2 linked regions of the Schizosaccharomyces pombe genome follow. The gene in region 2 interacts genetically with the main gene of each other region. Each region holds a gene or a part of one and is shown on either strand. Other genes may lie near its edges.

What was found. A genetic interaction does not mean that the proteins touch.
Region 1: mutations in mis4 (region 2) and pph3 impair growth when combined (synthetic growth defect), as found in Schizosaccharomyces pombe (one study listed by BioGRID).

Annotation. Positions count from the first base shown.
Region 1 is NC_003423.3:3,954,275-3,958,032, reverse strand, and holds pph3 (serine/threonine protein phosphatase), read left to right. Parts: upstream 1-1,946; 5' UTR 1,947-2,103; coding exon 2,104-2,173; exon of another isoform or gene 2,174-2,288; coding exon 2,289-2,743; exon of another isoform or gene 2,744-2,777; intron 2,778-2,796; coding exon 2,797-3,318; 3' UTR 3,319-3,481; downstream 3,482-3,758. Other genes in the region: CIA machinery monothiol glutaredoxin Grx4, read right to left, coding at 1-529.
Region 2 is NC_003424.3:395,249-399,006, forward strand, and holds the start of mis4 (adherin Mis4), read right to left. Parts: upstream 1,692-3,758; 5' UTR 1,642-1,691; coding exon 1,533-1,641; exon of another isoform or gene 1,494-1,532; coding exon 1,298-1,493; intron 1,255-1,297; coding exon 1-1,254. Other genes in the region: ATP synthase complex assembly protein atp25, read left to right, coding at 2,461-3,758. UniProt on the Schizosaccharomyces pombe protein: Plays a structural role in chromatin. Chromatid cohesion molecule required for equal sister chromatid separation in anaphase. May form a stable link between chromatids in S phase that is split rather than removed in anaphase.

The DNA.
Region 1 (3,758 bases), on a different chromosome or scaffold from region 2:
TACGACTAAAACCACATGCAGGTTCTGAAGGAGTACCCTTTAAAAAGAGCATAACATTGTGAGCATTTGTTAGCGTGCTCAACCTTTCATTTAGTTCAGAATCCAACCCATTTGGAGCTTTAGAGGTATTGGAAGTAGTGTTGGTAGTCTGAACGGAATTTACTTGAGTTTCCACGGACGCGTTGGTAGAGGATATTTGGGAGATAAGGGGTTGAATATACTCGTCAATAGCAGCCTTCAATTTTTGAGGATTTGCCCCCGAAATTCTAGCCAAAACTTTTGCTCCGTGGATTAAAACAAATAGAGGAACAGCGTTTACATCAAACGACTCTGCTATATCGGAAAATTTTTCAGCTTCAATTTTTAAGAAAACGGCATTTTTCGTGTCCTTTGCAAATTGATCAAAGACTTGGTTCATTTGCTTGCATGGAGCAGCCCATGGTGCATAAAAATTGAGTAAAATTATTTGCTCTTTTCCATTTTGCAATATCTCTTGAAATTGTTCAACAAAAGTAATTTCGACGCTCATTTCCAATCAAAATAGCACAGCTTGAGGAATTATTTCTTTTCCTACTTTTTTTTTCAAAAACCTAGTTTATTCTTTTTAATCAACAATCAACGCCCTATTTTTTCCTAGTTGGTTGTCGGCAGGTTCGGCTGAGCAGTGTAGAAAACGTATCTAGTAAAATCTCTTCCTTGCACAATAGGCGACGCAAATGATATAATTGCAGCAAAAAACATATCCAAGTAAATTACTCGAAATTTTTTAGTTAAACCACTTTTGATGTACGTTTTGATGATTCTTCTTCACTTTTTTCATTGTCTATTCATTAAACGGCATTCTCGATCTCATTTTTTTAATTACCATCGTGACTGATCAGATAACTTTATCCCTCGGTATTAAAACGTCTGGAAAATAATTTTTTCGGCAAAAAAAACTAGTGTGTTGCGCTTATACTCCGATTCTACGTAATACCCAAACAATTCTGTTAACATTTTATTTTTGTATGTTGTACATAAAATTAACAGTCGCTTTACTAGCCAAATGAGTTTATAACAAGCGACCAAAACAACCAAGATGAGATATGTTTCATACTTGATAAAAACAACAGCATACACATTGATTGATATAGTTAAAGTATTAAAAAATTGCATTGTACTGCTCAGGGCAAGCATTTCTTACACACCTCATTCTTTTGATAGTACGCAAATTGCAGTAAACCATATTGAAAGATAGAAAGAATATATTTCTAAAATCTTTTTAGTTATTTGAACATCTTGAGTTGCCGACTGAACATAAGTAAAGAATAGTATGCAAATTATGTTAAAGCTTCACATAAATTATGGGTTTGCAACACGAATTGACTATACAGTTTTTCTATATTGAGTGTATATTCCGCCACAGGGGTACGCCTTCAGCATACAGATTATTTTACCTATAATTGTGAGTGTTATCTGATTTTTACCAAGAAGCTATAGTGTTATGTAGTTTATTTCACAAAAACCCTATAACATCAAAGCTGCGCATTTGTGCGAACAATTTAGATCCGTTAGAACTATAGGAGTTTTTCTTATAATCTAGATATATATATGAGTAGGTGCACGTTCTTGTATTAGCGTTATAAAAACTCAAGATCAATGATAATACGGCATGCTATAATAATCATACTGGAGTAGCATGCAACTTAATTAAAAGATTCTAGTTCATCATTAATTTTAAGTATAAATGATTAAAAAAAAACAATCTAATACAAAAACTTGTGTCCATTTCATTTCGAGATGAAAGCACTAATAATGGTGGAGCAACCGTATTTTTCTGAAAAACAATCTAGCGTAACGCAACGTATGTGTCAATAAAATTCGGAAGCTGCTAATTAAGGAGGTCATGTTAATTATTTTAAAAGTCATTATCAAAAGGAAAACCGAATTTTAGTCACCAAAGCTCTACGCGTCATACCTCTTGACAGAGGTATTTTGACTTATTTAAAATTAAATTTCTTAAATGATACATAAAGTTGAAAAAGAATTTCACTTGTTTATTTTCTTATTCTAAAGGACCAAGTTATTCTAGTTTTCTTTACTTTATGTTTTGACGAGTTCAAAATGACTGATTTAGATTTGGATTGGCAACTTGAGGAACTGGAGAACGGAAGGTTAATTCCAGAATCAAATGGTATGTATAATAGTATTTATAGAATAACTTTTATCTCCGTCGATATAACAACGATCATTCATATTGGTTGTTCTTTGCCATAATTATAAGAATGGGGTCTAACGTTTTGTGGTAGTTGTTGAACTTTGTCAGCGTGTAAGAGATATTTTAATTGAGGAATCTAACATACAATGGATCTCATCTCCTGTAACCATTTGTGGTGATATCCATGGCCAATTGCATGATTTACTGGAGCTTTTTCGAATTGGTGGGTCATGTCCAGGTACAAAATATTTATTTCTAGGGGATTTTGTTGATAGAGGGTTTTACTCTGTAGAAACATTTCTCCTGTTATTGACTTTAAAATGTAAATATCCGAAAGAGATGACCCTTATCCGGGGAAATCATGAATCACGACAAATAACACAAGTTTATGGATTTTATGACGAATGTGTAAGGAAATATGGTTCTGCCAATGTATGGCGATATTGTTGTGAAATATTTGATTATCTTTCGCTTGGTGCTTTGGTGGATGGAAAGGTTTTTTGTGTGCACGGTGGACTTTCACCAAGCATCAGCAGTATCGATCAGGTATGTTATTAATTCCGAAAATTTGAACTAAACTTTTAACGCTTTTTATGAAGATTCGACTGTTGGATCGAAAACAAGAAGTTCCGCATGAAGGAGCAATGTGTGATCTACTTTGGTCAGATCCAGAAGATATTAGTGGATGGGGTTTATCTCCCAGAGGTGCTGGATTTTTGTTTGGTGCCGACGTTTCTGAAGTTTTTAATCGCGCTAATGACCTTTCATTCATTGCTCGTGCTCATCAATTGGTTATGGAGGGTTACAAAATCCATTTTTCCGATAAAGATAAACAGTATCCCAAATTTACAAATGAAGAGGACTCTGAGCTGGATTCAGATTCTGCCTCACCTGTTGATGATTCTCCGGCACCTGGAGACATAATAACCATTCCAGAAAAGGATAAAGGAAGCGTGGTTACTGTTTGGAGTGCACCCAATTACTGTTACAGATGTGGAAATGTTGCTTCTATATTACAACTTGATGAAAACCAAACGCAATCCTTTAAGATTTTTGGTACTGCCTCTCAAGAAAGATCTGGCATTCCAACAAAACGACCCATTGCCGACTACTTTTTATGATTATTCAAAATTCATTGCTCTACTTCACTTCCCCAATATCATGTATATAGGTCAACTTGTACTAAAGATTATCCCCTTAACTCTTCTTATTGGTCTCTCATTTTTAATTCTGCACTTATTTAATTCTTGTTTATGGAATTTGGTTATTTTAGCAATATTGATTTGTTTAGGACATCATAAATTTAAAAAGTAATTAAGTTAAATTTTAATTGTAACTTTTTTAAGCTAACTTTCAACGCACAAGATTGTTTAGTCGCTTTCTGAAGGTAATTTAAAGTAGATTGCAAAATGCTCGGTTTTCAAACATTAATCCTCATTTGATCGAACTTCAAACCTGAATTCAGAAACTGGGGTGATGAATATCATTTTTTAAGCTTAATGCTGAAAATTTAATATTACATTATTGAGTCAGCTGGTTTGAGTCTTTGTAGTTTAGACTG
Region 2 (3,758 bases):
AAGTTTTGAATGGAGCATGACTGAATTAAACGTACAAATAGGGTTGAATAGTATTGTATGGATTTACCGTTAGAGAGTCTATAGGTCCTTGAGACCGAACGAGCAGTGGGCAAGTGAGAAAAATTTGTAAGTGATTCTTCAATGATAAAATCTCGCTGATAAGGATAAAGACGAAATAAATATTGTAACGTTTGAAATAAAGGAGCTTTAAGAAAATCGAAGGATGAGCTGTTACAGTTAGGAAGTTTAGTTTTGAAGGAATTGTCGAGTGTAGAGACTTTGGGAAATAAATATACAATGCGTATGACCACAGCTTCCGACAAGGGAATTTCATGGGCAACTTTAGATAAGATGTTTAATACATTTGCGACTTTTTGTAACAAAACTGATAGATGTTGAATTTCAGAAGTCCTAGCATCGGAAGTTTTTGATTGAACGATGTTATCAATCGCTTCAGGAACTGTGTACTCAAATATGGAATGTAAGATATTAAGTAAATGAAGAATTGATTCTTCATTTTGAAGCTTTTTAAAGGAGGGGACCAGAAATATTATAAAAAGAACAAGAGCAGTGGTCTTTAAAATAAAGTCTAAATTCGGAAATTGTGTGAGGCTGTCATGAAGATTAATTATACTGTAACAAGCGACAGGAAGCTCTTTTAACTCTTTCTCAAGGATTTGTTTTACAAGTATTATACTCCCTTCTTCCAGCAATTTGTCACAAGCTCCCAAACGACTAAGCTTGGTTAATGCCATATATAGCTTTTCAATTGCGTGCGATGAAATGTGTTTTCCATCATCGTCTTCTCGTTTAATAAAGAGAGAATTCGATGAAAAATCTTCCGAATTCTCAGCTTCTATAACTTGAGAAATTAGTAATCTGGTATCTTGCAACTGCTTTAACAAAACGTCCTGCAACCGCTGGATCTTTGAGGGAGATTCACGAGGCGAATAAGTGTCTTCCATAAGTCGCTTTTTTGGGGTAGTAATATCATCTTTAGATTTTTTAGGGCTACATAATTGAACAGCGTTAAATACGCGAGAACATGATGGACTTCGAGGACTTGAAGACGGAGTTAAGAAGCCATTGTCGGAAGATGAACGGTTTGTATTTATAGAAGAAGCATCAGGTTTCTCCTTGGGTTCACACATCAACATACTTGGCTGAATCAGAGATTTTGTAAAATCATTTAATTCACTTAACGAGTCACTGTTACACACCTTTTGGTCTAGGACCGGACTGGCATTCACCCTCCTTTATATTTGTCAGATAAAAAACCTCAAAAAATTTAACTTACATTGCGGGCATTGCAGGTTCCGTTATCATAGCGCTAAGAGCATTTTTATAAAAATTAAAGGTTTCAGAATCGTTAACGAATGTTGCGCCAGGATTTAGCATATCCACATATCTTTGCATAATACTTGATTCTTCGGAGTTAAGTTGCAATGGCTCATTTTGAAATTTAGAAGATGGATATAATACGTTTTGTAAACCTATGTAAATTAATAGACGCGTTCAAACTGTATGCATACCATTTTCCAATGGGATTGATGATGCTAATGGTGTGTATTGAAGCCCTTTAATAATTCGATTAGAGGAGTTAACTTTTTTAAAGGTTTCAGGTGTCATCTCGAAAAGCATCAAAACATTGCAAAGCTAAGAAAGGGAAGTATTTATCATTAAATTCATTCATCTAAAAACAAAGAAACGTCGGTATATATAAAGCGTAAACAAGTTTAAGGCAATAGACCGAAACGGGAAAATGCAATTAAGATGTAAGCTACGCAGTTTGGTATCTGATTTAAGGATACGTAGAACTGCGGTGAGTTTTCCTTGTGATCTATTATATTACAATACACAGGTTGTATAAGTAGCAACTGAGTATAGGTATTGTATTAACTGGGTTATAATGTTACCTATCACTAATATAGCTCATAACTGAACTGAGGAACGAGTTCAGCAGTAGCTCTATTTATAGTATTCAGATAATATAGATCTTAATAGATTATCATTAAGATTAATTTCCATATCGTATCATAAATGGTACGATATATAATTAGAACATGTGACATATAGTGATACGCAACGTAGTGTATCATAGCGTAATGTAGTATTGCTGACATAAGAAACGTTCGTACATTTCGGATATTGGTGATTACGTATTTCTACAGTGGAACACTATTTAGAATCGGTCTCTTGGTTAGGAAAACGTGCCAAGGTCATTAAATATTTGGTTTTCTCCTAATAATTTGCGGTCTTGTTTTAAAACATACTAAATATTTTTGTTGCTTTAATCTAAGTTTTATCTATTACTATTCAAACAGAAGACAATGTCTTCATGTTATACTGTGATAGAACAGCATTGAGAAATTCTTTTTTCGGCTTTATAAGGTAACACTTCAATTATATTAATTCTTATATTTTTAATGACTGTGCTGAGATTTCATATTTTATTAAAAAATGCCCACATATCGCTTTAATTATCTACGTTTCAACAAACTATGTGTTTCCTTTTTTCGAAGCAAATTTGACAAACGACCTTTCGCTTCTCAAAAGTTTCCTGAAAATTTAGTTCCTGATAATTCAAGTAATGACGCTAATTCGCAACCAGAGGAAGTCTCAAGCAAAAAACCATGGTATGTGGATGAAAAACATAATCTATTTCCTAAAAAAGCGCATTTCGATGCGGTTGCGCTGCCACCTATTCCAAAAGGTGCTCCAAACTTTTTAGCTGATGTGTTAAACCTTCTTAAAAAGAAGTATTATGCCACTGATCTCAGTTTTGTTAACTCACCCGCCGATTCTTTTTGGTGTGATTCAGATCTTATTTTACTAGCTTCTTGCAACTGTGGATCTGAAGTTGTATCCGCTACTAATGGCTTACTTCGCCTTTTAAAACAAAAAAACGTTGGACCGGTGAACGTAGATGGCCTTACTAGTGCATCTCGGAGAAAAATTTTAGAACGGAGAATGAGGAAACGTTCCAATTTGTCAAACCGACAATTAAACACGTCTGAAAATAATTGGACATGTCTCAGTATCGAAAACTTCGGCATAAGCATTCATGTAATTACAAAAAATTTTAGGGAATACTATAAACTGGACAATATTGAACATGTTAAGGATGAAACTTTGTATTCTGATCTCGAACATGGCAAACAATCTAGGGTCTCACTCACTAGTAAATCTACACCTGATAATTCTTTACCTCCAAATTTTATTAATAACCACTCGAACGTATTTCGGAGAAGTTTCCATACTTGTAACTTTTCTTTAAAAAGTGCCGCATCCCTTTATTGCGATACCCAGGATATCTTGTTAAACGTCAATTCACAAAATCTGACGAGTACTTTGGAAAAATATAAGAAAATGCATCTCCAAAATCCTAATAATTTTTCTTTGGATTTTACTCTTTCAATTTTTGAGCGACTTCGAAAAGATTCTTCTTTGCAACTGACTACAAAGGATATCAATACGCTTTTCAGTACTATAGCTTTGTCTCCAACAAAGTTGAGTATGGCTTCTAAACACTCTAAAAATTTGGTTAGTGAGCGGATGTTGTATCTTTCACTAATGTATAAATCTTTAGTCGATCTAAAAACCATCGATTCATTTTCACTAAAACTACTTTTTTTAAAATTTATGATATGCTCTTGTATGGTTAAAGGGGAGTCAAACTTCTTTCTCGACAACCGCATATTTCTTTTGGAAAGGATTATGAACCGTTATGGAATACCCATGACTATTGACACGTTTCT